Linked DNA regions of Cricetulus griseus. The protein of the gene in region 1 interacts with the protein of each later gene in a pairwise test. Links are inferred from orthologs where the notes say so. Each region holds a gene or a part of one and is shown in the gene's direction. Other genes may lie near its edges. The genes, in order: Sh3gl1, Mta1, Mal2, Sh2d4a, Gpkow, Fam102a and Dppa4.

What was found.
Region 2: the proteins of Sh3gl1 (region 1) and Mta1 interact in binary tests that used the Homo sapiens proteins (3 or more experiments, as listed by UniProt). The two-hybrid records come from large-scale screens. The link is inferred for Cricetulus griseus from reciprocal best matches to the Homo sapiens genes SH3GL1 and MTA1.
Region 3: the proteins of Sh3gl1 (region 1) and Mal2 interact in binary tests that used the Homo sapiens proteins (3 or more experiments, as listed by UniProt). The two-hybrid records come from large-scale screens. The link is inferred for Cricetulus griseus from reciprocal best matches to the Homo sapiens genes SH3GL1 and MAL2.
Region 4: the proteins of Sh3gl1 (region 1) and Sh2d4a interact in binary tests that used the Homo sapiens proteins (3 or more experiments, as listed by UniProt). The two-hybrid records come from large-scale screens. The link is inferred for Cricetulus griseus from reciprocal best matches to the Homo sapiens genes SH3GL1 and SH2D4A.
Region 5: the proteins of Sh3gl1 (region 1) and Gpkow interact in binary tests that used the Homo sapiens proteins (3 or more experiments, as listed by UniProt). The two-hybrid records come from large-scale screens. The link is inferred for Cricetulus griseus from reciprocal best matches to the Homo sapiens genes SH3GL1 and GPKOW.
Region 6: the proteins of Sh3gl1 (region 1) and Fam102a interact in binary tests that used the Homo sapiens proteins (3 or more experiments, as listed by UniProt). The two-hybrid records come from large-scale screens. The link is inferred for Cricetulus griseus from reciprocal best matches to the Homo sapiens genes SH3GL1 and EEIG1.
Region 7: the proteins of Sh3gl1 (region 1) and Dppa4 interact in binary tests that used the Homo sapiens proteins (3 or more experiments, as listed by UniProt). The link is inferred for Cricetulus griseus from reciprocal best matches to the Homo sapiens genes SH3GL1 and DPPA4.

What each region holds. Positions count from the first base shown.
Region 1 is NC_048598.1:97,526,895-97,530,668, forward strand, and holds part of Sh3gl1 (endophilin-A2), read left to right. Parts: intron 1-3,078; coding exon 3,079-3,147; intron 3,148-3,247; coding exon 3,248-3,320; intron 3,321-3,610; coding exon 3,611-3,754; intron 3,755-3,774. UniProt on the Homo sapiens protein: Implicated in endocytosis. May recruit other proteins to membranes with high curvature.
Region 2 is NC_048598.1:180,931,740-180,935,513, reverse strand, and holds part of Mta1 (metastasis-associated protein MTA1), read left to right. Parts: intron 1-1,909; coding exon 1,910-1,960; intron 1,961-2,534; coding exon 2,535-2,661; intron 2,662-2,741; coding exon 2,742-2,805; intron 2,806-3,774. UniProt on the Homo sapiens protein: Transcriptional coregulator which can act as both a transcriptional corepressor and coactivator. Acts as a component of the histone deacetylase NuRD complex which participates in the remodeling of chromatin.
Region 3 is NC_048603.1:797,595-802,080, reverse strand, and holds the start of Mal2 (protein MAL2), read left to right. Parts: upstream 1-1,502; coding exon 1,503-1,634; intron 1,635-4,486. UniProt on the Homo sapiens protein: Member of the machinery of polarized transport. Required for the indirect transcytotic route at the step of the egress of the transcytosing cargo from perinuclear endosomes in order for it to travel to the apical surface via a raft-dependent pathway.
Region 4 is NW_023276806.1:245,041,971-245,046,256, forward strand, and holds the start of Sh2d4a (SH2 domain-containing protein 4A), read left to right. Parts: upstream 1-1,245; 5' UTR 1,246-1,374; intron 1,375-4,286. UniProt on the Homo sapiens protein: Inhibits estrogen-induced cell proliferation by competing with PLCG for binding to ESR1, blocking the effect of estrogen on PLCG and repressing estrogen-induced proliferation. May play a role in T-cell development and function.
Region 5 is NC_048604.1:114,166,816-114,170,589, forward strand, and holds part of Gpkow (G-patch domain and KOW motifs-containing protein), read left to right. Parts: intron 1-3,040; coding exon 3,041-3,173; intron 3,174-3,774. UniProt on the Homo sapiens protein: RNA-binding protein involved in pre-mRNA splicing. As a component of the minor spliceosome, involved in the splicing of U12-type introns in pre-mRNAs.
Region 6 is NC_048599.1:144,254,021-144,258,476, forward strand, and holds the start of Fam102a (protein FAM102A), read left to right. Parts: upstream 1-1,560; 5' UTR 1,561-1,898; coding exon 1,899-2,044; intron 2,045-4,456. UniProt on the Homo sapiens protein: Key component of TNFSF11/RANKL- and TNF-induced osteoclastogenesis pathways, thereby mediates bone resorption in pathological bone loss conditions.
Region 7 is NC_048597.1:42,771,340-42,774,643, reverse strand, and holds the end of Dppa4 (developmental pluripotency-associated protein 4), read left to right. Parts: intron 1-1,433; coding exon 1,434-1,637; intron 1,638-2,695; coding exon 2,696-2,729; downstream 2,730-3,304. UniProt on the Homo sapiens protein: May be involved in the maintenance of active epigenetic status of target genes. May inhibit differentiation of embryonic cells into a primitive ectoderm lineage.

The sequences.
Region 1 (3,774 bases):
TTCAGGGACCAGGATACTCCATGGGGCAGTGGGTGGTCACCTTCTTGCATGTCCTCTCCAAAACCTGCCTCTGCCTCCCACCCAGCCCCATTTTATTTTTTTATATTTATATTTATATTATTTTATATTTATTTTATTTTATGTACATTGTTGTTTTGCCTGCTTGTACGCCTGGAGAGTCCCACGTGCTGCTCAGTGGGCCTGCTCTGTCCTTGGTTGCTCCCTACCAGGAACCAGACATCAGGCATGGAGTAGGTCAAGATTGGGCGTGTGGGGCTCGGTGGTTCTGCTCTGCAGGGAGGTCTGAGGTGGAAGCTGAGAAAGAAGGGTGGCTGTGACTCTCCAGGCTCAGGCTACCGGCAGCCCTAAGGTCTCCAATTGAGGACACAGAGTCTGCCTGTGGCAAGGACAGAAGGCTAGGCTGCATTCTCTCCCTGTGAACTGATGACCACTAGGAGTCTGGCACGGCACCCACACACCTCTCTACCCTCTATGTCCTGTCCACATAGATGCTGCTGCTCCTTCTCTCCCCCAATCCCTGTGCTTTCTGGGCCAACACGGGTTCCCAGTGTCCTGCGGATGCTGTGCCTATCATGATGCTTCTGCTGGTAAAGTGAGGCAGGTGAGCCTCTAAGAACACTGTTGTGTCCTTCAGAGTGTCCCAGTGCCCTCCTGCATCAGCCTGCCTCAGACTCTCCAGGCAGCTCTTAGTTGTGGGCCAGGTTCCTCCCTCCCCCCCACCCCCAGAACAGGCTGAGCCCTGGTTGAGAGCTGTGCTAAGGAGCAACAGAAGGATCTGTTAGCTGCTATACATGAGGCATGGGTGCTTAGGTCCACCAGACAACATGGCCATCCATAGACATTTCTCATGCTCTGTGGTATTGCACAGCAGGCCTCAGTTTGACCCTCCGGTGACTGACTGGATACAGCATGGAGCTGCCCTGTGCCCACCCTCCCCTTTCATGTCACTATCTTCGTTGCTCAGACTGAACGTCCTGTGGCCACTAAGCCACCTTTCCTAAAGAAACATGACTGTCCAGGGGTGGTGGCCAGACCAGGCAGGGTGTCAGCTCACATGTTCCTCCCAGAACCTTCACTGTGCCTAGCTTCTCCTGTCACATATCCCGTCACTGTACTTAGTTTGGCAATGCTGGTGCAGAACTGGGGGTCTCATGCATGGGGCAAGGTCTCTACCCAGTGGCACTCTGGTCACTGTGATCCTGTTGGGAGGCCTACCTCCCTGCTGTGCTTGCCCCCACTCCAGATGCCTGGTTTACAGGTGACATTGTCAGCAGAGCTTGTGCCAGCAGGTGTAGCTCCTGTGCTCCTGGACAAATCTGTGGAAACAAGCTGGCCGGGGATTTGGGAGCAATCTTGGTGCATTTTGCCTTGGGCCCAGATCCCTGGTTGTGTTGTACTTAGCCAAGATACCCAGTCTGTCCCCCTGAGGTGACTGCAGTAAGGCAGCTCTTAGCAGGGGTGATGTCCCTGCTCCCCCCACAGGCTGACAGCTCTCTGCTGAGAACCTGAGTGTTTGCATGCCAGCCACCATGCAGCTGCTGCTGTGCTGTGGGCAGCTGTGGTGGGTCCCACACACTTGTACACTGCACCCTGTTTCTGTCTCTGGAGTGCAGGTGGTGGGAGGCAACATGCCCATGAGCTACAGAGGGCGCTGATGGTCCTCCTGCAAAGAGACCCAGAGTATGAGGGTACAGCCTGCTCATGACATGTGTGGTGGCCAGTGATGTGGGGCCCCCAGATCATAGGTCACAGGAGATGGGAGCATTAATAGAGCAGCCCAGTATGCTCCAGGCTCTCCTCTTCCTGCCTGACTGCTCTCCCTGAGACTCTGGTCCCCTGGCCCAGATGCTATCCCCTGGAAGCTATGGCTCTGCCTCACTTCTCTGCATTTACCAGAAGAGCAGGGCCTCATGGTGGGTGACATCCTGCTTTTGCTCGCCCAGAGAAGCGAAACAGGGCCGTGAAAGTCAGTGGGGCTCCCTGTGAATACCCAAAGGAGGTAGCCAGTTGGGCCTGCCCTGGGGAGGACATAGCTACAGGGACACCCCCCACACACACTGTCTTCCTGTCTCTCCCTACCCTGAGTCTTATCCACTCCTCTGAGATGCTCTGGGGAGCCCAGAGAGCAGCTCTGTTCAGTGGGCAGACCAGAGAGCATGGAGGCCTTCAGAACGCTGTGGGCAACTAGTCACAGACACAGGGCAGGGAGGCCACTTCCGGTGGTGCCTCTCTGCAGCCTCCCTACTTCCTGATGTCTTTGGTCACTTCCTCCCAGGCCACCCTACAAAGTCCTTACTGCCTCTGCCTATGGTATGGGACACCACATGGCACTTGCAAATCCCTTGCCCACATCAAGCAACAGCTCAGAGTCGGGAGCACCATGGCTATGGCCCGTGAAAGCCTCACTGGCACCCTTCTCTCAGGAGGCTAGCCTGCTGTTCTGCATATGGGGTGTGTATGCACCTCATGTGGGGGTGATCTGGACAATGACTGCCCTGCTGGTGCATCCCAGGGCCTTGGGTGTGATAAGTGAAGATGGCTGTGGTGGGCAGACTTGGGGAGAAATGGGGCCTTGTGCTCCAGAGAAGTGACACACACTGTGTCACATTCAGATAGTGACACAGGCACTTGGGGCTCCCTACCATGTACCTGAGGCCAGCCCAGGGCAGTTGGCTCTGTCCACCCTGCCCCAGGCTCTCAAGTTCTGGCTTCCTTGAAGGGCCATCCTTATCAGGTGTCAGTGTCACAGTGCAAGCACTAAGGATTCAGGTACACAGGAGTCTCCTGAAACCTGCAGTACCCTCATGTGCAGGACACGGAGTACAAGCTGGCATGGGGCCTGCTTTGCCTCTACCAAAGTGACAGGGTCGACCCAAGAGCTGTAAAAGGTGGACAGTCCCCACGGGGTGCTGGGCTGAATCCCAGCACACCTCAGCCCTTCTCCCGGTCTCACCCAGACTCCCCGTCTGCCTGCCTGTCCCAGAGGCTGCATCCTTGGCAGGCACAGCGGGTGTCCCTCCTGTGCCCTCACATGCCTCCCTCCTTCTACCCCAACAGCTGGTCAGCGAGAAGGTTGGCGGGGCCGAGGGGACCAAGCTAGATGATGACTTCAAAGAGATGGAAAAGGTAGGAGTCCCAGGCACGGTCTGCAGAGCTTCTGGAAGACAAATGGGCCTAGACCGTTCTGCCTCGGTGTCTGATGCTCCAACACTGGCTCTCTTCGCAGAAGGTGGATGTCACCAGCAAGGCCGTGGCAGAAGTGCTGGTCAGAACCATTGAGTACCTGCAGCCCAACCCAGGTAGGTCACCCTGAAGTGGTGACCATGGACCTCCCAGCTTCTGCTTGCCTCCACACACCAGGGTCCCTTCTGCTGACTTGCTGGGCTGATGTACAGTGGGGTCAGGTCTTCCCAGGCAAGGGTGAGGCAGGGGCCATGGAGTAGTACCGTGACTGTGTCCTCTACTATCTCCATGGTACTTCTTCCTGAGGAGGCCTAAGGGAGGGGGCATGTGGGATTGGTCCCTTCTGTGAGCTCCGGAGGGCTTTGGTAGACACCCCCTGTCACCCAGGCTGTCTGTTCCTTTGCAGCCTCAAGGGCCAAGCTGACAATGCTGAACACTGTATCCAAGATCCGGGGCCAAGTGAAGAATCCTGGCTACCCTCAGTCAGAGGGGCTGCTGGGCGAGTGCATGGTCCGCCATGGCAAGGAACTGGGTGGAGAGTCCAATTTTGGTGAGGGGCAGCTGAGTAGT
Region 2 (3,774 bases), about 83 Mb from region 1:
GGGCTCCCTCAACCCCTGACCTCAAAGTCTATCCATGCTCTGGCCTGTAGGTACATATGCTACATGCACTATAAATGTTTGATGTGATTGGGGCCCTGCAGGTGTGAGTCCTAGTCTGCAGTAAAGTTGGGGCCACCTTGTGTCCACCAAAATGGAGGGAGGGTAATGGTCTGCCGAAGGGTAGTGACCTACTGTAAGGATGGCTGCAGTCAGAGCCTTACTGCTACAGACCCCACCCCCCACCCCACCCCCCCCCCACACACACACACACACACACTGTGCTCCCAGAAAAGCTGCTTGGGCATCTCTGGCCAGGCCTCCGGTGAGCTTCATCAGGCCAAGGAGGCAGGCATCAAGGTACCAGGACCTGCTGTGACTGCCAAGTGCTCCAGTCCCTGGGCTGCTTCTGACTACATAGAGCTCCCTGTAGCCGGGACACACTCCGCTGGTTCCACAGTAGGAAGCCATTACACAAGAGCTAGAGACCAGGAGCCCTTCCTTGTGGTCACAGAGCCTCTGGCTTCCCAGTTGGTGCCCTGCCAGGGTGTCTAGCCCAAGCACTGCCCTCAGATGGAAGCCAGACAATGTAGCTTGTGGTGTGCCCGGAGCAGAAACCCCTTCCAGATGCCCATGGAGGGAAATGTGGCCTGGCCACACTACCCAGTACCCGCAAGAGCAAGGTTAGGACTTAGCAGAGTGACACTGGAGGTGGCTCGGGAGCACAAAGCCAGCGAGCGCTTCTGGACCTGGGGTGGGGAGGCTTGGATACCGGTTGGGGCTGTGCCCCCTGCCGTCGGTTTTGTCCATTGGAAGGTCTCTAGGGAGAGCTGGGGCCAGAGGTTGTGATAGGGTCTGGCTTGCTCCAGGTCTAGAAGAGATGAGGGGCATCCTGGAGCCACTTGGTGCCTGTGTCAGGGTTGTGAGCGACTGTACTTGGACCTGACACTGATGCAGGCCACAGGACCCTCTCCCAGTGAGGGTGTGGCTGTCTTCCCTAGATGTGCTGTATAATACAGAGTGGGTGTGCACAAAAGCTAACCTCTGAGTTGGTGGTTGGGCCTCACACAACTGACATTGCAAGCTCTAGCTGGTGTGTGTGCACAGCTCGTGTCTGCTGTGCAGGAGCTGCTCTCAACAGACCTGCTTGCCCTGTTTAGGAGGAAAATAGCTCAGTGGCGATGCCCCAGACTTCTGGGGCCTAGTCTTACTGAGAACAAACCTCCCAGCCTTCATCTAAGATGCCTAAGGCTAGGGATTCCCCTCCCAAAAGTGCCAGAGCACTCTGCAGTCACCACATGGGGGCAACAGAGAGCAGCCATGTCTGGCAGGCTTATTGGAGCTGTGGGTGTTGGCAGGGCTGTCCCCCTGCTGGACACTCTAGGCAAGCCTGGGCTGTCATTATACACACTGTTCCATACTCCCCTATTTGGGGATCTGGGATAGGCAAAGGAATATTTTGTTGATACCAGGTAGTGGGCATTAGCCAAGCCAACTGAGGTGCTTAAATGCGACATTGGTATAGCTTGGGCTTCTCCCAAAAGTCACTGTCCTCCTCCTGCTGTCCTGTTATTTTCTTGCCCTTCTTTGGGCAGTCTTGTCTGGAGGCCCCTGACTCCTGTTCTTGCCATTTAGAGAGGCGCTAGGGCCTGATTGGTAGAATATGTGTGAGCATTCTGGTTGGGGCAGACAAGAGCTGCACTCATAGAAGAGGGATGTGTCTCGCTCGGGTGGGTAGCTCCTGTGTTGGAGCGGTCAGGAAGCACAGGTAGTCAGTCTTTCACTGGGTGGTGTTTGTCCTCTGTCGGGAGGCCTGTGGCCCCCATGTCTCCTCGGTCCGGGCCCTGGGCAGGGAGCAAGCGCTGGCACTGGCCCTAACCTGCCATCTGGGCGCTGTCTGTCTGTTATGTAGCCCTGTCAGTCTGCTATAGAGCCGGACCGGGGGCGGACACCGGCGAGGAAGGTAAGAGCCGACCTCTGCAAGGAGGGTGTCCTCGCGGCTGTCCCTGGGTTGGGGCGGGTGACACACAGGTGGATGTATCCTGGATGGGCTGCCTACATGCCCATCCCTGCATCCCCTGCCGGCCGGCTAAGGGCTGGGATTCCCTATGTTCAGCCTGTAGCCCGCCCGGCCTTGGCTGTGGCCCAGGCCTCAAGGGTTCACCCTGCTAGCGCAGGCAATCTGTTGTGTTTTGTGCGGGGGCCGTCTGGCCTCAGGCTGGCAGATGAAACTTCCCGTCCTGAATATGTAGTGTGCCCATGTTTTTCCTGCCTCTCTCTGCCTGTTGTTTCTAAGGCCAGTCTGAACACTGTCCTCCTCTTCCTATCCTGATGTTGAGCCCTATATTCCAGGATTCCAAGGCATCTATGGGGCCTGCCCAGAGCTCGCGAGCCACCTTGGAATGGGCATGAGATGTGCTAGGCAGGAAAGTGGCCCTTCTGTGCTTGGTGCCCTGCACGAGGGAGAACTAGCTTGGGGGCTGGGGCTCTCAGCTGCCATCTTCAGGGATGACTGACAGGGCCTCTTTGTTCTCTAGGGGAAGTGGAGGAAGAGGTGGAGAACCCGGAGATGGTGGACCTGCCTGAGAAACTCAAGCACCAGCTGCGGCATCGCGAACTGTTCCTCTCTCGGCAGTTGGAGTCGCTGCCTGCCACCCACATCAGGTAGTTCTAACACCCCTACCTGGTGACCCTGCTGCCTCAGGTGGCCCTCCTCCACTCACCCACCCACCCTTCTCTTCCAGGGGCAAGTGCAGTGTCACACTGCTCAATGAGACCGAGTCGCTCAAGTCCTACCTGGAGCGTGAGGTAAGACCCATCCTTCTGTCACCTGGCCTGGCCTGGCATGATGCCTGCCCTTTGAATTACACTGCAGCTCCTTCCCTACCCACAGTACCCTGCCACCAGGGTTCAGAGACGTTCGTCTGGATCCTATCAGTCACTTCAGGTGTTGATAGGCAATCCTTCAAGATGACCCTGTGTGGAGGTTCCGACTCTGAGAGGATAGATGGTTGGAATTGGTGAGCACTTCTGCTTCCAGGATCCCAGATACCTGCAAAAAAAAAAAAAAAAAAAAAAAAAAAAAAAACTCCATAGGTATCACGTGGAAAACAGAAGCCTAGACAGGCCCTCTTTGTCCACAGTCTCAGGTGACCTCAGGGCTGGCTGCTGGCTTTCGTGGGCTTTCCGCCTGTGGGATAAGTAGTTGTTATGTAGGGTCACTCTGCACATGGTTGGGTATTACCCATGAGATGTCACCCCTAGAGGTGTTCAGTACCACTGCTGGGAAGGTCAGGTTTCCGAGGCTAACTGGCTGCCATGTCAGTTACTTGGAGGATGTGGCAGTTGGAAGGAACACTGGTAGTCAGGTAAGAAGCAGGTGTGTCCGGTTTCACGTCATCACCGCATCCTCCTTCCCCTCTTCCTCTTCCTCCCTGGGACCTGCCCCTAGGACTCTGCTGCCTCAGCTCTATCCTTGTGGCCTGAGGCTCCCAGGTACAGGCTGGCCTAACAGGGCCCATCTCCTGTGTGCCCCCAGGGAGTGCCACTGAAGCTTGAGAGTACCAGGGTGGCAGAATATGTCCTGAGCTCAGCCCACCCCCCCACGCGGGTCACTCGCTGTGAACCTGCTCTGTAGGGATACCAGTCATCTCTCCACTCCTGCCATACAGAGCCCAGAAATAGTTGACATGGTGGTTCAGCTATTGCTACATGCGCCGTTAGTCTGAGCAGCCATGGACTTGTTGGTGAGACCTGCCTGAGACCCTGCATGGCTGG
Region 3 (4,486 bases), on another chromosome or scaffold:
ATCGGTCAAACAAATCGATGCAGAAAGCACGAGGTTTCCTATGAGACAAACAGCACACACAAAATGCCAGGAAGTGGTGAGTAACAGGTATCACCTCCCTAGGTGACAGGAGGTACGTATAAAGGATTTCATCCACACCCTGCTTTGTGGCTTTTCCTCTGGTGCCACCACCACCACACCTATGAGTTTCGCTCATTAAAACAATAAAGACGTAGGGTAAAACCTGCTGACAGCCCAGGCAGGGAGCAACTCGCAGACTCAGTTTGGAGACTGTCTGATAGTGTGTGTGTGTGTGTGTGTGTGTGTGTGTGTGTGTGTGTGTGTGTGTGTGTGTGTGTGTGTCCTTGTTGCTTGACTGGGTCTCCCTAGGTATCCCTAGATGTCCTATTACCGGTTTTGCAGCCTTCTGGTTTCAAATTCAGGGCAATCCTCTGGCCTCATCCTATGAAACGCTGCTATTCCAGGCTTGTGCTGCCATGCCAGGGTTAGCTATTGTTTTTTCCACTGGATCTACTTGTGTGCTGATGTGAGTCATTTAACTTATCTTCAGATGACCTTTGAGAAATGCCCCTTCCTTTGTCCCACTTACAGACATTAACACTGAAACCAAGACTACAATGGGAACGCACGAGGTAAACTGAGGCAAGGGACTCATACATAGCATCCTTTTTTTTTTTTTTTTTTTTTTTTTTTTGGTCTGCTGAGTGTTAAAAGACAGTGTCAAAGAGTACATGTGTGAGGGCTAAATGAAAAGGGTCTGTGTGGAAACGTGATGCGGCTGACATCGTTTGTAGACAGAGCAATGATACAGATCTCGGGATTGGAAAAGTAGCTGCCGTCCTAAAAGCTACAGTTTACAGAGCGCTTCCTGGGCACTGAACTTTTCTGTCCCTCACTGGCGGATATCCTCATAGGGATTTCCCGGAACAGAGTAGGAAACCTCAAAGCAGCCCTCCGGGGACCTACGGCCAGCCATCGACTCCCAAGTGCCACACGACCCTGGTGACATCTTTGAAAATTCCATTACAGTCCCCTTTAAAACAGGCATCCCGCTTTCCAGGTGTGCCTGGCGACTGGCGTTTGCTTTCTGAGTCACAGTCTCTGTCTTCCTGCCCAACTGGGGACAGAGGGTGAGGCCCGGGTGAGAGTGGGGTGGGATGGAGAGGTGGGACCCGCGGGACATTTAGCGCAGGGGCAGCAGGTGATCGCGAGAGCCTGGGCGAGCTGGTGGCCCTGTAGCCGGAGCGCACCGCGCACCTGTACGGGTGACCCCTGCGGGCGCCGGGGCGGGGACGTGCTCACCTGCGCCCACGTGACGGGGCGGGGCTCTGTGTAGAGGGCCCTTGGCCACGCCCTCTCGGCGAGCGGCACGCCCGGACCCCGCGGACCGGATCGGCGGCGGCGGCGCGCGGCGGCGCGGCGGCGGCGGCAAGCCCGGGAGGGAGGCGGAGGCGGACGCGGGAGGCGGTGGCGGCTGTGCGCGGAGACGTAGCAGCGGCAGCATGTCGGCCGGCGGAGCGGCAGTCCCGCCGCCCCCGAACCCCGCTGTGTCCTTCCCGGCGCCCCGGGTCACCCTGCCCGTGGGCCCCGACATCCTGCGGACCTACTCGGGAGCTTTCGTCTGCCTGGAGATTGTGAGTAGGGTAGCAGCGTAGGCGACGATCGAGCCCCGGGGAGCAGGGACAGGCAAGGCAGCATCCTTGCCCCCAGCCCGGTCTGGTCCCCCCGGCGATCACCTTCTCCTGGAAGTGGCCTTTTCCTGCCCACGGTCTCGGGGTCCCCTCCACTCTGTGTCCGGGCCTTTTTGCTTGGCACCTGTTACGCGGCCACCTGCTCGCCGGCCTGGAATGGAAATGTCCCCTAGAGTGCGAGCAGGCAAAGGGCCCAAGATTAGGGACTTGGGCAGGAGAGGGGTGTTAGCGCTTGGAGGAGTCGCGGGGACTGGGCTTTGGACAGGGTCTACGCTTGCCTGGTGGAGGAACTGGCGCCCTCGGCCCCTCCTGTCGCTAACCTGCCATTTTGTTGGGTGGTGCAAAGGTGTACCGATGACTGGGTGGCCAGGAAGCTGGTAGGATGTGGAAAGCCGGGGCGGAAGGCGCCAGGGAAAAGGAGGAGCAGGAGGAGGCTGAAGCCTGGGTATGGTTTTCACCCCACTCACCCTTGCCATCGTCAGTGCCCTTTGGATTGGGGAAGAACGGGGCAGGGAGGACGGTGAGATTGTAGGTGCCGTTGGCAGTGTGTAATCAAGAGGCCGTGAGAACCAACCGTGGGGAAAAGTGGAAGACAGACGTGGGGCTGTCAGCTCCAACTCTCGCCTTTGCCCCTTGTCCATTTTCAGTTTACCTGAGAATTCCAAACCTCCTCGGAGCACCTCGCTTGTACCTAGGAAAGTTGAAGTCACAGGCCCGCCCTGCAACCTTGTGGAACTAGACACTTGAACTTGGGCAAGGAATGCTGTACAGTTGGGAGCTTTCGAAGCTCCTTGTGGACAAGGGGGATGTGTAAATATAAATTGGGCAACTGGGGTTGCATCATGCCCGGAGAATGTCAAATAGAAAGAAATGTTAGCAAGGCAGGGCCTTTCCTGCAGGCGGGTTTTGTTTGCTCCCTTTAGGGTTTTCATGTCACTCATCCTCCTGTGAGTTTGCATAACCTGGATCTGGGTCACTCTGGCTTCCCTTTTGTGCTGTGGAGCTGAAAACCGTGGGAGCCTTGGTTTTCTGCCCCACTATGCTTTGGTAGCCAAGCCACCTTAGGTTTAGCTCCGATTTGAATCGGAAAGCAGAGGCGGTGGCAGCTGGGATCAGACTGACTGTGAGTCTAGAAGACCCTGGTGTGGGTTCGGGTTTAAGCCCAGTACAGCGGCATAGGAATGAGACAGTGATGCTATATATATTAGTCTTGAGATAGGTGTGGTCTACCACTGAGCTCCTAACTTGCCAGCCCCTCGGTGTTGGCCCAAGCTATCCTTCCCTGTTACATATTTACCATATATTTGCCTAAGTTTAATACAAAGTTGATCTTGCAAAACCAAGCCTTTTAGCTCAGGCTGAAAACATTAACACCAAAATTTATCATTTTCAGGGGCCAGGACAAAGGATCAATGAGTAAAGGACTTGTTGCAAAATTGTGAGGACCTGTGTTCAAATCCCAAGAACGCTTGAAAAGCTGCCCTCCGTGGTAGAGTTGCTGCCTAACCTTTGGCTAGAACTTAGCTTCATCCTCAGCAGTAATATACATTGCATCTCAAATTTGATATGTTGGTTATACATTTCTAATAGTTATTCAAATATATTTATACAATTAACTTGTATGTATACATATACATGGCATATATGTATATATATACATATATATATGTATACACACATGTGTATATGGAAACATATGCATAGAAGTGTTGCCCACATGTTATCAAAACAAATGCTACTCAGGACCCACCTGACGGTGTGGCACATTTATGGAACACTAGTTCTGAAGGTGACTTATTGAACTCCTTCTAGCTCCATATCTCCTTTTCCTATCTACCACAGTAGTTAGTTCTTAACTCTGGCTGTATTTAATAACTTGGCAGCTTTGAAAAGTACTGTTGCCAGCCTGGACTAATTAAACCAGTGTCTCTAAGGGAGCACCCAGAGTCAGCTAATTTTTTTTAAAGTTCCCTGGAGATCCCAATACACAGAATAACTGCAACTGACTGATAGTGCCTTTGGACCAGGATCTGCAGAAAGGAGAACGTTTTTTTGTTCATTAGGATGGATAGGAGGATTAGATTCTGGAAGTGTGGGGAAGTATCCCACATACTTCCTGCTTTCTTAGTCTTCTTAGCCGCTCCTCTGGCAACTTACCTAACCCTGACACGGGTTAGACTCTTATCAAAGTAGAGGAGTCTCTTCCCAAAGCCATTTGGACTTGCACGTGTGTGTGTGTGTGTGTGTGTGTGTGTGTGTGTGTGTGTGTGTGTGTGTGTATCCTCGTGCCTGTGTGTTTAAGTGTATATGGAGGCCAGAGAACAACATTGAGTGTCATTCCTCAGGAACTGTCCACCTTTTCTTTTTTAATATTTTGCTTATTTATTGAGGGAACAGAGGGCACACCCATTCCACAACGCTTGTGCGGAGGTCAGGGGAGAACTTGCAGGAATCAGTTCTCTACTTCCACCATGCGGGTTCCAGGGGTCAGATTCAGATTCTCAGACTTGACATTAGGCACTGTTCCCACTGAGTCATCTCACTATCCTTTGGACTCTTTTGGGCATAGGGATCAGGATGAGCAAGATCTCTTACTGGCCTGTAACTTGCCAAGCAGAATAGGCTGGCTGGCCAGGGATCCGCTTGGCTCTGCCTGTATAGCACTGAGAGAACACATCACCCTCTGCAGCTTTTCTTTAGTATGTTCTGGGGGTTGAAGTTGGGACTTCAGGATTAAAATGCAAACACTTTACTGAGTAGGCTGCCTTTCTAGCCCCACGGTTTTATTTTTATGG
Region 4 (4,286 bases), on another chromosome or scaffold:
GAAGCCTCAAGGCAGATAGGTAAAGGGGAAGAGCTGCTATTAAGATGGCCTTGTGAAGACATGAGACAGAATGAGTGTGGAGGTGGATAGTCCAGGGTCCCATAAGGTTTCAGCTGACAGATGGCCCACTCGCGTAGTTCCTTAACTTCCATCCAGGGAGTGTGAGGGCACTGACTGAGCAGATACAGCCCTAAACACAGGGGGACATGCCAGCCTAAAGCACCTCACCGGCCATGCAATCAAATGCAGTGGAGAGTAAGCCCTGGGCCAGGAATCCTTGCCTGAATGGATCCCAAACACCATTCCTAATGGCCTGAGGCTGATTCCTGAGAATGTGTGGCATGACCCCTACCTTAAGGTTTTCCAACTCTTCAGTTGGCAAAGCTTAAGATAAACAACATCTGGGCCTGGCATGTCAGGCTTCTCGATTAGTTGGTTGGACAGGCTGTATAGAGTCACACCATGCTTCTCTTCTTGTATGGCACTTCTCTCCACACTCAGAGTCTGCTGGGGTCCTGTGTCGTCGCCGCACCCCCCCCCCGCCCCCAGCGACCCAGCACTGTTTCCCTGAACACATCCCTAACATTCTTTCCCAGAGGCTTGTCCACCTTTCCATGCTGCTGAGCTTTGCTTTGAGATTTGCTGAAGTTGTGCCCTGCACCACCCTGGTCCTCTTCTGTTAGTCACAGGGTTCTTCCACCTTTTATTTTTCCTTTCTTCCTCTCCCTGGCTGTCCCTGTCTCTAGTGCCTGGAGTCTCCCACATTCCAGCCTTTCTCTTCCTTGATCGTGCAGGTAAAACCACACCTGGGGTAACAAATGCTTCAGTGTTTGATACTTTACTTAATGTCAACAAAAGAGGGGGGGGGCAGTAAGCTGTAGAAATGCAGGGGCAGAACTGGAGAGAGAGCCAAGTTGGCCTGCAGGACCCAGGTTCCCAGAAGGGCCTACCCACCTCCACAGGCTCCACCTCGCAAGCAAATTGAGTGTGGAAAGGGCCAGCTGTAAGACGTTCTTCAGACCACTCTGGGATGAACAAACCATCCCAGGCTGCAGACAGCGCTCTAGGTTAACTAAGGATTGCCTTACTGTTGCTGGACCAAGGCAGCCAAGCCTAGCCTAGTGGCTCTGGAGTGTCTCCAGCTCCCGGGTGGGGCCCAGAGGGAGCGCCCAGTCAGTCAACCCGGCATGTGGGCGCGGCGGGGCGGGCCAGGGCTCAGAGCTGGACGCTGAGTGTCCTTCTGGGCCCGAGTGTTTGTCCAGCCTGCCCGCCTGGCTGGGTCTCAGCCTGTCCTCCCTTCTCTTCCTGGACAGCTGCGGGAGGCAATCGGAAGGTGGCAGGTGCTTGGGCCACCTTGTTTGGGGTCCTGAACAGGTAGGTGACTGGGGTGAGCGGGCAGTGGGACTCGGGAGGTGGGTCTCCAGGACAAGGGGAGAAGCACAGGGGCCAGGGCTAGGAGGGTGGTGAGACCCTGGTCCCCGCGCATCTGTCCCTTGGGTCCCTCCTCCACCGCGCGCGCGCAAGGCGGGCTCAGGTGCCCAGAGGAACCGGCGACCACGGTGTCCGCCGGTGTCCGATGTCCAGTATAGGGTGTCCATTGTCTGCAGCCGCGGCATGGTGAGTGACGGCCGAAGGACAGGGGGCTTGAGATCTTTGTGACCGATATACCGAGTGCCAACAGTGAGAGGAGAATCTGAGGCGACTTGGCGTCTTTCGGGGGAAGTTGTGCGGTCCGGGCAGTGTGCTTGCACACGCGGTGAGTGAATGTTTACACCGGCCCGGGGCAGGTGCAGCCGGCGGAAGCCACCTGTGAGGGTCTTCGCCAAACTGCAGCTGCGGGGTGCCGGCGGCAGTATCCGCAAATCAGCCAGGGGTCTCTCCTGGCCCGGAGACCTTCCAGAGAGCCCTGAAAACCGGTTTCAGCTCACGCAGAAGTCCATGAGCGCGTTCCCCGGCAGGGACATCCTTGCGCGGGCGCCCCCACGTGGTACAGGAAGGGGCGGGCAGTGTCGCTTCCCTGTGGTTCTGGATCAAGGCTGAAGTCAGAACCCGACTCCAGTTGGCTGCACCAGGACTTTCCTGTCCTAGGGGCTCATGGGTCTTAGGTACGATCTTCAGATATCCTGGGAACTTAACCAAATTCTGGATTTTAGACATTTTTAGAGTGAGCAACAGGTGTGGCTTGTTGCTTAATTTTTCCTTTGCAAGAACAGCCCTACAGGAGAAGAAAAACAAGTTAGTTGAGCTGCACTTTATGTTGGATCTCAAACAACTGCACTCAGTATGACACCCAAACATGACTGGGTGAATTAGTGGCCGCAATGAGTGTCCCGTCGCAGTGAAAGTAGGAAAACCCCTGGCTGGTTCATTTCCTCATGTTTATTTCCTGTACTTGGCTCAATAACTTCAAGGTAGATTTTGTCTCACAATCTATGAGTTGCAGAGATCCCAAGATTAATTTTTGGGAATCTAAGTCCAAAGATGAGAAGTGACACCCCCCCCCCCCAAAGTCACAGCTCACGGGAGGCAAATCTGGGAATCTGGGCTGGTGTCCTTTGAGGTATCTGATGAACAGTCTGCTATAAGGGAAACCTTGAAGAGGGTGGCAGAAGAGTCATCCAGAGTGAATCAGCAGTGCAGTGTGGCACCCACAGTCAACAGCCACAGACACTTGTATTCTCAGAGGACCCCAGGAGTCACTTGTCTTTTTTCCGAGAATGATTAAGGTGGCCCTGGTGGTCAGGGTCTATAGTCCCTGTTAGGTGGGAGACAGAGGCAGTCAATATAGAAAGGTGAAAGCCTGCCTAGCCTATTCAAAACTGGCCTGGGCAACTTAGACTCTGTCTTAAAGTATAAAGTAAAAAGAGGCCCGAGGGTGTAGCTCAGCAACAGAGAAATTGCCTAGCATGTGCAAGGGACAGGAGTTAAACCTCAGGACTACAAAACAAAACAATCTGACTAGTTAACCTTAATGCTTGAAGTCCATGTTTGTTACGCAAGGTAAAACAAAAAGGGTTTGCACACTTCCTTACAGATGTGCTGTGGAAAGGAATATTGTGGAGACAAAGTATCTGGCAACCAGAAAACAAGAGGAAGACATATTCAACACTGAGCCAGTGTGGCAGTCGGCTCTGTGCGCCTTCCTGGATGGGGTGTTTTCTTCTCTGGCCTCCTCTAAGCTTATCTACAGTTGATTGGTGTTGGCCTTCTTGCTGTAGGAGAGGAATCTCCACATCTGCAGTTCTCTTCCCAGAGAGGTTTTCTGGTCTTTGTTCTGAAAATTTAAAATTGGTGTCACACAGCGATTGGGCTTGTGAGTAAACTTGTAGCCGCCAGTCACTGCAGTGGATATGGTCACTGCTGTGCTTTAGCCTCCCAGTGTCTTACAAAGCTGTGAAATGGAACTGGCCTCTTGGAGTTAGAGTGGTGAAGCGAGTTGACTTAGGCTAAGTATTTACTTTAGTGCCTGCAATAGTGAAGTGTTGGTTCTGTTATCAGAATACTCTGGGTCAGACTGGGGGAGGAATGGGCCCTTGGCTCTTTGAGGGAGTTAATTTTCAGCTCTCCCCTGACCCTCTAATGCTATTCATTGGATTAAAGATTGGGGATAGAGTAGAAGCTGCAGCCACGATCCATTGCTAGTTTTCTATCCTGTTCTGTGGGCATCAACCCCCGAGGCCATGGAGTGTAGCCATTTATGGAGGCTTCCGGGAATTTCAAGGAGTCATTTACTTTATTTACTTACTACTTTACCTCAGGACGTTGGACTCACATATGCCAAAGAACCAGATTCTTTCCGTGGGAGAAGAATAGCTTCCATAAACCTTCCTTTAGTGTGGACTTGATTTACTCTATTCTGTGAGAATGTGCTAGAACCAAAATATCGTAAGACATTGACTCTGCACTGTATAACACTTTGAAGACCATCTCAAAGCATATTTATATGCAAGCTTAACTAGGAGCCCTGACGGGGGTATGCATGGCCAAGTTACAGTCGTGGCATTCTTTTAATGCTGTTTAGCCTTCCTCTTAATATAGTGTTCCATTTGAATTCCAGTAGCAACAATACATGTAGCTTCCAGGCCCCCTGTACCATCAGTAATTAGAGAGCCTAATGCTGCAGATGTCCTGCGGCACCTGACTACTGACTGAGCTTGTCTCAAAGGACTGTGTCCAAGAAGCCACTTTACAAGGAAACAGTCAATAAAGGGAAAGAAAAAAAGGATTAAAACCCACAAGGATGGGAAAGAGGCAGGGGGCATCAAAGACTTACTGTGGTCACAGGC
Region 5 (3,774 bases), on another chromosome or scaffold:
ACATATATGTATGCAATAATAATTGGTAAAAAGGAGGCTATGAGCAAGGTGCTGGTGGCACACGCCTTTAATCCCAGCACTTGGGAGGCAGAGGCAGGTGGATCTCTGTGAGTTCAAGACCAGCCTGGTCTACAAGAGCTAGTTCCAGGACAGCCTCCAAAGCCACAGAGAAACCCTCTCTCGGGGGAAAAAAAGGAGGCCATGAGTTTGAAAGAGCAGGGAGGGCTATATGGGAGAGTTTGGAGGAAGGAAAGGGAAGGGAGAAATGTTGGAATTATATCATAATCTCAGAAATTTAAAGAATGTAATTAAATGAAAGGGGGGAAAGACAAAGGATAGGCATAGTAACATACTCAGGAGATTGAGGTGGTAGGATTACTGAAAACTCAGGGCTATCCTGAACTACGTTGTGAGTTCAAAGCCAGTCTTAGTTATGTAGCAAAACCATGTGTCAAAAAACAAGAGAAGGGGTTGGGGAGATGGCTCAGTGGACAAAGTGCTTACTACACAAACTTGAAGACTGGCATTCAGACCATGGAACCCACATAAAAGCCAGGAAAGTGGCAGCTGCAGGCCATTCCAGCATTCAGGAGGAAGTAAGAATCCTCAGAGCAGCCTGGCTATAGTAGCCTGAACTGGCCAGCTCCATATTTGGCAAGGGACCCTGCTTCAGGAAAGTGCAGAGCAGCTGAGGGAGACACCTGATGACAACTTTGAGCCTCTACATGTGTCTGCTTTCTGGTTTACTTTTCATCAATCTGTTCTGGTTTGCTTCTAATAATGTCAGAATCATGGCAAGCCAGTGCAATACACTGTAATACTTTCCACTTGCTGTGCTCAATTCAATATTACTGCCACTAGCAATGTGGACACCAGTTTTGGTCAATATGGCATAGTATTCTATTTCAGATTGCCTCAAAGCTGGCAGTTGGTGGTAAGGATAACCAATGTTGCTTTGCCCTGTTTTGTCATCTTCAGAGTCTGCCTGTATCCCAGCATTTATTTTTCACTTATAACAAACTAGAGCCTAGAGTTGATTGACTCCAGACACCTTTCTGTCTCTGTGGCCACCATCTTCCTCTTATGTTCAGGACAGCCCCCAACCAGAGCAGGCACCAAAATGTCCAGGGAGTGAGAAAGGAAGGAACTCCCACAATGCAAAGCTCTTCATGGTACTATTTTTCTTCATGGCCTGGTATTGCATGTCTTTAATCCCAGCATTCAGGAGTCAGAGACAGACAGATCTCTGTGAATTTGAGGTCAGCCTGATCTATATGGCGAGTTCCAGTCCAGTTAAGGTTATATAATGATACCTTGTCTCAAAATAACAAAAATAAGTGTAGGTATTTGTAGGTAAGTGTGGGTGCTCAACATTGGGTTCCCCCTAGAGCTAGATTAACAAGTGTTTGTGAGCCACCTGGCATGGATACTGGGAACTGAGCTAAGGTCCTCTGCAAGAGAAATAGTTGTCTTAACTGCTGAGCTCTCTCTCCAGCCCTATAAATCCTAATCTTACAGGCCTGCCTGGCCCACTGCTTCAGTGAGCACTCCAAAACAATTTTCTGGGCCTTTTTGGGTCTCAGTTCTCAACCAAAAGGGAGAAAATGCCATATCCCACAATTTCCATGAAACATAAGTGTTTAAAAGATGTCTGAAGCAAACATGGTGGCTTATTAATGCAAACCTAGTACCTCAGAAGCTGAAACAGGAGAATTGCTGCAAGTTTGAGTCCAACCTCAGCTACATGACAAGTACTAGTCTAGCCTGGAACCTATCTTGAAAAAAATGAGAGGTGGGGAGATGTCTCAGTGTGTGAAAATGATTGGCTAGCATGCAACCATGAGGACATGAGTTCGGATCCACAGCACCCATATAAAAACCAGGCATACATGCATCTATAACCCAAAGCTGGGGAGTAGAGACTCTAGGTAGATCTCCAGAGCTCATCGGCCAGCCAGCCTAGCTGAATCAATGAGCTCCAAGATCACTGTTTCAAAAAAAAAAAGATAAAAAAAGCATAAGGTGGAGCTAGAGAGATGGCTCAGCCATTGAGAGCACTTGCTGCTCTTCCAAAGGACCCGTGTTGATTCCCAGCACCCACGATGCAGCTCACAACTGTCTGTCACTCAAGTTCCAGGAGATCCAACCCCCACTTCTGGGCTCAGCAGACAATGGGCATACACATGACATGGTGTAGAGACACATACATGCAGGCAAAATATGCACACATGAACTAAAAATTTCAAAGAAGTAAGGTGGTTTACACCTTTAATCCCAGCACTTCAAAAGACAATGCAAGCAGATCTCTGTGAGGTTGAAGCCAGCCTGGTAAAATAGTAAGTTTCAGGCCAGTGAGCTAGCTACATAGTCTCAAAGCATAAGGTGATGAGCACTCAAGGAAGACACCTGATATGGACGTCTGTCCTCCACATACACATGCACACACCACACAAATAGTAGCTACGTGTATGTAAACACACACACACACACACACACACACACACACGTCTTTGTTTTACATTTTGCTAAGGGAGATACAGGAACATGCCTGCTCCTGCTTCTTCTTTTTTTAAAGATTTTATTTATTTAGTATAACATTTTGCTTCTTTGTATATCTGCACACCAGAAGAGGGCATCAGATCTCAATACAGATGAGTGTGAGCCACCATGTGGTTGCTGGGAATTGAACTCAGGACCTCTGGAAGAGCAGCAAGTGCTCTTAACCTCTGAACCGTCTCCCCAGCCCCCTACTCCTGTTTCTTAGGAGTTATAGTTTTAGTAGAGATAAAGGAACCATGCATGGTCCTAGCCATAACAGGTCACAGCATACAGTTGGGCTTTAATCCCAGCACTCAGAGACTGGTGGATTTGAGTTATAGGCCAGCCAGGGCTACATAGTGAGAACCTCTATCCAAAAACAAAGCAAACAAGGTAAGAGAGACACAGAGAGCTCAAACCTATTAGAGGTAAGGGCTGGACATTTTAGAACTAGCAGCTGTAGTCCATTCACCCTCTGCCTTATTCCTACCTCCCACCTTAGGTAGAAGGCCTTGATCCTGACAATGTACGGGCCATGGTTCGGCTGGCAGTAGGTAACCGCATTGTGACTGTTAGTGAGTATTGCCTACAACCTGTTTCCCAGCAGGAGTTTGATAGCCACGCCTCACAGCCAGGTGAGACTCATTGGTGGAAACTTGGGAAGCATGGTGTCAGGCAGGCTTTCTCTATATCTGGAGGAAGGAAAAGCAGTGTGGGACTTCCAGTCAGAGGTCAGGCATGAGAAGGGACAAGACTAGTTTATTCATTTTTTTGTTTGTTTGGTAGTGCTGGGAATAGAACCCAGAGCCTTGACACTGTTACCACAGAGCCACATCCCCAAACTAGTTTGTTCAGTTTGAGAAGTGCTTGATCTAGTACCCTGCATCTTCATCCTCTCTAAGCAGCAAGAAATGGGTATGGAAAGCAATTCCTACCCGCAGGAGGTCCATTTGTATTTGGAGTGATGGTCCTCTCTTTTGCCAGATAGGAGACTAGGGTTGGGGTGTGAGCAAAGGAGAGGCAGACAGAACAGTAATGGTTGTAGGGCCGCTTAGAGGTCCTTGCGGCTCTTCCCCTCTGCTATGAACGCCAGGCAGTTGACTCTGCTGTGTCTTTGCTGTGGGCTGGGTGCTTGAGAGGAGCTTCCTGAAGGAGGTGGATGGGAAATGGGGCCTTTGCCAGGAGAACAATGACCCTTGAGAGGAAGTGCTGGTGAGACTTTCTCCTTGATGTCCC
Region 6 (4,456 bases), on another chromosome or scaffold:
TGCTGCAACCCCACTCTAGGTCTCCACAGTGAGGTCCTGAAGGCCTTATCTCCTTCGGGAATCAAAAGTGGCCTCACTCACCAGTTCCCCATTACCTGAGGCCAGAACAAGCAAGTCACTATCTAGCTCAAAACACAAAACAAAACAGATGGTAGCTCCCTCTTTACTCTGGTCGACAAGGCTGATCTTCCATTCTCTCAAATGAGAATTCGTCCAGGGGGGTGCTCAAAACTTTGTTAGTACCACGCTGCCTGGCCCTCAGGCCTCGGGTGGCCGTCACTAAACCCCTCCTTTGAGTTTCCTTCCCAAACCAAAAGCCCAACGCCTCCTCTGACTTTCCCATACGTCTACTTAAGGTCTTCAATTGGCTGTAGCCCCCTGTGATCCGCTCTGCTTGGAGGGGTAGAAGAGAAGCCCACCAGGCAGAGCCCCTACACATTGGCGGACCGGATGCAAAGAATTACAAAACGCCGATGGCTCGGAGAGAACGAGGCTCCCCAAAGTGTCCTCTGCCTCCAGAGCAGTTAATCTAGCGCTAACTATCCCAGAAACTGAAGAACAAAAGCCTTAGATAACAGCTTGGAACGAGGCAAGCTGGGTCATAAGGCTGCAGGGCTCCTCACAAACGGCAACGCCAGGGCAGACGCTTGTCATATTCAGAGGCAAGAACGACCTGCTGGGATCTTGGGCCACCTCTTTAAGAGGGTCGTTTTCCTGAGAAATGGGTTCACTACCTCCTCAGCCTGCTTTATTGCTCAACGAGCTCAGGTCTTGGCGGGACCCGGGCAGGTCGTTCCAGCCTTAGTTTCCAGATGGTTTCTCCAAGTCATTGTTTCTTCGTTTCTTGGCCTCGCGCGCGCTCTCCTCCCGCTCCTGCCTGTGCCGGCCCCCACCCGCGACCTCCCACCCTTCTCCGTCCCCTTCACCCCCCACCCCGGCTCGTCTCAAGGAGGCGGGTTCAGCTCCGCGAGTGCACCAATCCGAGCGCCCCGAACCGGCTCTGCCTCCTCGAGCCCCGCCCCACGCCACCGCCAGCCAGTAGAAATTGGCGTTTGTAAAGTCGGTCCGTCCAATTGCGGGTGGGCTGTGAGGCTCGAGCGTCCCGCCCCTGCCGCGCTTGGCCGCTGCTCGGCGGGCGGCCGCGCCGGGGCTTCGGCATTCTCCGAGCGGCGCCGAGGTGCGTCGGGCTCAGCCGGCTGCGTCCGGTGGTGCGGGCGACGGCGCCGCTGTGATCCTGGGGTGCTGGACGAGGCAGAAGCCACCCGGCTGGGTCGGAAGGCGCCTCAGGCTCGGTCAGAGCAGGCGCGGCGTGGGTCCCGGGACTGAGCCGGAGGCCGACCGGCCAGGTTCCCCGCCCGGCAGAGCCTCCCGGAGAGGTCCCTGCGGAGCCCGGGCGGTCGCTGAGGTGGCTTCCGCTTCCCGGGGCCTCACCTGCGCAGGCCGCGGGGCGCCAGGTGCGGAGGCGTGTGCGCCGCTGGGCGCCTCCCCCGGCCGCCAGCGGGGCGGAGGCGGGGCCGCAGCCCGGGCCTCCCGCGGCTCGCCCGGCAGTCTCAGTCTCACCGGTCCGCCTGGTCCCGCGGTTCGGGATGCTGCTGCCTGCTCACGAGCCGCCCGCTGCCGGGGCCGCGCCTCGCTGTTTACATGCCGGTGGAGCCCGGGCCCCCCGAAGGTGAAAGTAGCCGGCCCACAGGACTGGTCTCCCAGACGCCGGGCTCCGGACTCAGATCTTCTCCTGCCCCGCAGCCTCCGCCGCCATCTGGACTGGATCCGGCCCTGGTGTTTTTTGAGGAGGGGGGTGTGGTATAGGGAAAGGAATCCTGGGGATTTCTGGGATCCCCTCTTTTTTTTTTTTTTTTTTTTTTTGTGCCCTGCGGGCTTAAGACTCAGGGAACTCGCTCATGGCTTTTTTGATGAAGAAGAAGAAATTCAAATTCCAAACCACTTTCACCCTGGAGGAGCTGACTGCGGTCCCCTTCGTGAACGGGGTCCTCTTTTGCAAAGTCCGGCTGCTGGATGGCGGGGATTTTGTCAGTTTGTCGTCCAGGTAGGCCTTGAGGCTTTTGTGTTTGCAGGGGAGGCTGTGTGTGTGTGTGTGGGGGGGGGGTGCTGCTGAATGAGATCTTGGTAAATGTGGAAGCCTCAGGTCGGGACGGCAAGGGACTTCCGGGCGTTATACGTGTCTGGGGGAAGATTTGCTCGAGGCAGTACTTGGGGCTGGCACTGTGCCAGGCGCTTATCTGCAGGTTACCAGCCAGAAACCTTTTAGGGCCCTGAATGCATTCTCCAAGTCACCCATTTTGCAAACTTGCATGGAGAGGACTGAATGAAATTTGCTCTTTGAGGGAGTAAGTAGGAGTGCCCTAGGCCACCTTACCACCAAGCTGGCCCCTGTGGCTGTCATATGATTGAGAGCTTAGGCCAGCCACAGGTTTTCTGGCATTTTCCTCATGGCTGGGAAAACCCAGTCCCAGGCACTCCCTGGATCTGATTGAGGGTGGTGGCAGGTTTTTGGGTTGCCCAGCCCCCTCTGAGTGACTGCCCTCCACTGGCTGAAGCTGGGCTGCTTTGCATTGCAAACGTCCTTGCCAGAAGACTGCCTTCCTCTGTGAAAGACCAGTTAGGTTTTATGTCCTCCCCATCCTGGTAGGTCCAGTTTCCCAGCTTATTTCTGAATGAAATCCAAGTTCTTAGTCTACCCTTTGCAGATTGATCTCACTAGGGCCACACAGTCCTAGCCTGCCTGCTGAGGCCCTTGGAGTCCAACTGATGAGGAAGGGGAGTCAAGTTCTGGCTCCTTCTGGGTTCCTGTTCCCTCTTGTGCACAGTGGATCACACAGATTTCTCCATCAGAGATATGGAAAAAAGTTGCAGTAGATAGGCCCACAATACAGCACCTGGCCCAAGGCCTGGGATACTCTCCTCCTCTTACCTAGTCTGCCCTTTGTTCCTTAGGTTTTGTGGGCTTAGTTAGCTGGAGATGCCTCACTATTCTGAGATCTCAGAGGTGTGTTTTACTGATTGGGATAATGGGCTCCAGAAAGAGGAAGTAAATAGTTGCCAGGGACCTTGAGTGAGACAGTTGTCAGCCAAACTGCCTGTTAGGAGACCTGTTGGGTGAATCTGCTGGGAGGAGAGAAGCTATGTGGCCTGATTCAGATTTTGGAATCTGTGTGGATAGAGTGAAATGCCTGTTCTATGCACTGAGCCTCCTGTTTTGCTCGGAGCTGCTTATCTGAGGAATTTGGACAAGGGGTGCCCTTTGTGGTGGGGTAGCTACAGTCTGCAGCCCGTGAAGCCTGTAAACAGCACAGTGTCAGAGGGTTGTGCTCAGAGATGGGCCTGGAGTCAGCCACTTTCAGGCTCTGGGTGAATTACAGAGTCTCCCTGATCCCATATCTCAAGAGCCAGCAGTTGTTGGTGCTCTGCTTGCTGTTTTACTAGCTCCTCTTAACCTCTTGACTGGGCCATGGAGCAGTAGAGGTGGGGTCTGGGGAGCATTTACAGAGATGAAAATAGAGGCTCAGAGAGGGTGGCTTTAACTGCTACCTTGTGCCTCTGAGCCTCAGTTTCCTCTTTTGTAAAATGGGGAAGTAATACCCACCTTTCAGTGTGAGGGGGGTGGAGAGTGCACCATGTCTGACTAGAGAAGGTGCTACAGTAGCTACTATATTGTAAGGGGCCCAGACCCCAGCTCCCTCTAACCCCAGTTCATTGACTCAGGGTGGGGTTGGAGAGTGGATGGGGGGAGGGGTGGTGTATACTGGACGACATCTCTTAATTAGCAGAGGTCCTTTTGTCAACTGTACCAAGGAATTTGCACCAAGCGCATGCTGCAGTTTCACCTATCTGCCTAGATCCTTAGCTAGCCACTAAGACCCTACCCGTCAGCTTTTTTCCCTTGCCCCAACTTGCCCCCACATCCTGGAAAGTCTGGAAAGTTCTGGGACTTAGCACACATGGCTCTGGATTTCACCTCTGTTTCCCCTTCTTCCTCCTGGCAAAAGACCAGATTCTCTGAGCCCAGCTGAGCCTAGGCAGCCTTTCCCAGTTCCCATCCTGGATAAAGCCTTGTGTGGGTGGGTGGGTGTGGTGTGTGTGGTGTGTGTGTTTGTTTTGCTAAAGAGAAATAGCTGGCATTGAGGCCCAAGGCTGAGCACTTAGATTCTAGACACCTGGGTATTGCAGCTGTAGCTGTAGAGAGCAGTGATGTTGGAACCTGAGCCACTTTGAAGTGGCTTTGGCTTTTGTGGGCTTTTACCCAGGGGGTGGGGGTTCCTAGGTTGCTATTCCCTCTACCACACCCCTCTCACATTGATCCTTTAGCCCAGGAGCCTGGGCCACCCCTCCACTGCTGTGAGCTTATTGGGGTAGGGACTGAGGTGACTGGACTTGCTTAGATCCTGGGCCTAGATGTGGCAGCACATCTTCCCAACCCCAGGGACATCTGGATCTTTTG
Region 7 (3,304 bases), on another chromosome or scaffold:
TAGCAATAATGAGGATGCTGATCCAAGGAATCATACTTTGAGAATTACATCAAATTACTCACGCACCAAGCAGGAAGCCATGTGCTTTTAGGTCATTTCTTTCCCCTTTCATTAAAAAACTCTCTGGGATTGAGGCTGGGATCTCTTCACATCTGTTAAGTAGGTGACACCAATAATTTCCCGTTTCTCATTACAAAATAAACATTACTCAGAAAAGACTTGTCTGTGTTATGGTTTCTATTGCTATGATGAAACACCATGACCAAAAAGCTAATTGAGGGAGAAAGGGTTTACTAGGCTTACGCTTCAGTTTTGCTGTTCGTCACTGAAGGAAGTCAGGACAGGAACTCAAACAGGACAGAATCCCAGAGGCAAGAACTGATGCAGAGGCCATGGAGGAGTGCTGCTTACTGGCTTGCTCCTCGAGGCTTGTTCAGTCCAGCTTATAGAGCTCAGAACCATGGCCTGGGCCCTCCGTAGTTGGTTGCTAAATGAGAAAATGCCTTACACCTGGATCTGAAAAAAGCATTTCCTCAGCCAAGGCTCCTTCTCATGAAGGAGCTGTGTCAAGTGGCCACACAAAAACAACCAATATAAGATATCATAAGATTATGAACCCAGGACCTGAGTAGGAGGACCAGAAGTTTGAAGTCAACCTGGTCTACCTAAGACTTTTCAAAATACAGAGAGCTCATGTTGTAAGAATAACAGAAAATGTGAGTCATTGGTGGTGCACATCTTTAATCCCAGCACTCAGGAGACAAAGGCAGGTGGATCTCTGAGTTTGAGGCAAGTCTGGTCTACAGAGTGAGTGCCAGGACAGGCTCCAAAGCAATACAGAGGAAACCCTGTCTCAAAAACCAGAAAATTCAGTGAAGGAAAAATCATGCTTAGTGTGATGCAGGTGGGTGCCGGGTCTTAGTCGAGGGCTGGAAGATGGCTCCGAGGTTGAGAGTACTTGCTCTTGTAGAGGGCCCAGCCTCAGCTCTTGGCACACAGAAGCACATATCTTTAACATCCAGGCCTGCCAGGGTTGCACAGTGAGACCCGTAGACCTAATTCATTTAAAAAAAAAAAAAAAGCCTTTGGTTATCTGGGAGTTCGTGCATGCTTTTGTAGTAGGGAACAAGGGAACAAGATGGGTTGAGATAAAGGTTGGATTCCCAGTTTTATTCCAGGCCTGGCATGTCCTGGAGTCATTAAGTACTGGGAAGGCTTTGGTCAGTCTTTTTTTTTTTTTTTTTTGAGACAGGGTTTCTCTGTGTGTGTAGCTTTGGAGCCTATCCTGGCACTCGCTCTGGAGACCAGGCTGTCATCAAACTCACAGAGATCTGCCTGCCTCTGTCTCCCGAGTGCTGGGATTAAAGGCGTGCGCCACCAAGGCCTGGCTCAGTCTTGTGCCTGAGTATGTGACTCGTGTTAACTCTCTTAACTTCCACAGAAGAATTGTGGTGTGTGGTTCATGGGAGAAGCTTTACTGAAAGCACAAAAGGTTGGGTTCGGCTGCAGTTCCACGGTGGACAAGTCTGGGTCCCTGACAAGAAGGGAAAAGTGATTGCCCTTTTCCTGCTTCCAGCCTGCAACTTCCCACCCCCACACCTGGAGGACAACCTTCTGTGCCCCAGATGTATTCACAGGTGAGTGCTATGCTTACACATTGAAAGTGGGAGCTTTTAATCAGCTGTGTTTTGAGTATTTTCTTGTCTTGCTCAGGTAAGTAGCCTCCACAGCTCGAGGTGTTTATGAGTCTGACACTTGCTGTGTGATCAGGCTAATCTCCAACTTGGGGCAGTCTATTTGCCTCTGCCTCCCAAGTGTTGGGATTGTAAGTATATATCATTAAGTCTAGCTACCAGCTTTTGGTTGTGTTTGAGGACAAGGTCTCATTGTGTAGCTAGGCTAGGCTTGGGCTCAGAGTCCTCTTGTTGGGCAGGAGATGGCTCAGTTAAAAAAAAGTATCCACTGCCAAGCTTATGGCCTGAATTCTATTCCCAGGACCTATGTGGTGGAAAGACTGAACCAATTCACAAAAGTTGTTCCTTGATCAGCTAATGTGCATCGTGGCATCTTCATATACACACATAAGAGACATAATTTTAAAGTTTTTTTTTCTTAAATCTGTCTCATTAGAGTTGAGGAGCATTGAGTAGGTTTGATATCAGATGGTGAAAGAAACTGGTTCTTAGGGAAGGTTTCTTTCACAGTCAACTGAGCTAGGTGTGGTGGTGTCCACCTGTCATTCAGGAGGACTATCTACAAATTCAAGGCCACCTTGATCTACATAGTCTTTGTCTTAAAAATCAACCATCTTTGTTTAGTCAAAATGAATTTTTTTTTTCCAAGATAGGGTTTCTCTGTGTAGCTTTGGAACCTGTCCTGGAACTCTGTAGACCAGCCTAGTTCCAGGACAGCTAGAGCTGTTAGAGAAGAAACCCTGTGCCCAGGAAAAAAAAAAAAAAAAAAACTAGATAAGTAAACAAAAATAAAATGGTGATTCTTCCTGGTTCTGGTTCATTATCTGAGTACGACATACCTGTAATCCCAGCACTTGAGAAATGTATGCAGGGTGATGGGGAATTTGGGACCAATCTGATCTACATGAGACCCTGTCTCGTCTCAGTGTTGGGGGGGTGGGGGTAAGGTGTGGAAGGAGGAAATGATGAATGAATGAACCGTGGATAAATTTGTTTTCTAGGAACAAGGTCTTAAATAAGAGTCTCCACGACTAAAGGGAGGATCTCAGGTTTGGCTATCTGCTGTCATCACCCACTCTTGTGGAGTGGTCTACGGAACCACAACCAAGACTGAGACTGATGGAAACCCACGTCTGTGCCCGTGAAGGTGCCCCTATCACCCAGAAGCTATGGGACACTGTTAGTTGTTGCTGTAATACAAGCAGCCTGGGAAAAGAGCCAGTGCAGCCACCAAAATACACCAGGTCCATCTCTCTCCACTATGGTGACTGGACACTGTAAATGGTTATACCTACTGTTGTGTGAAGACAAGAAAGTGTCCTACTGGTTATGCTGCAAGGAGGACCTGGGGCAAGAATATGGCATTCCCAGATCTAGTACTTGTTTGCCCTGTCCCAGGCACAACAGGGTCATAGCCAGTTCTGTGGTCCACTCTAAAGTTCAGCTTGTGTCTGTAGCCTCTGTGTGCCCTCTTTCCTAGGTTGTAGTATGTTGTTAGTGTGCAGTTCTTGGGTTTGTTTTCTATTGTTGTAAAATATTACACCGGATCTCATTTGTGACTTTTAGTTTTTGTTTCTTTTCTGTGTGGTTGGTTTACTTCTTCCCTGAAA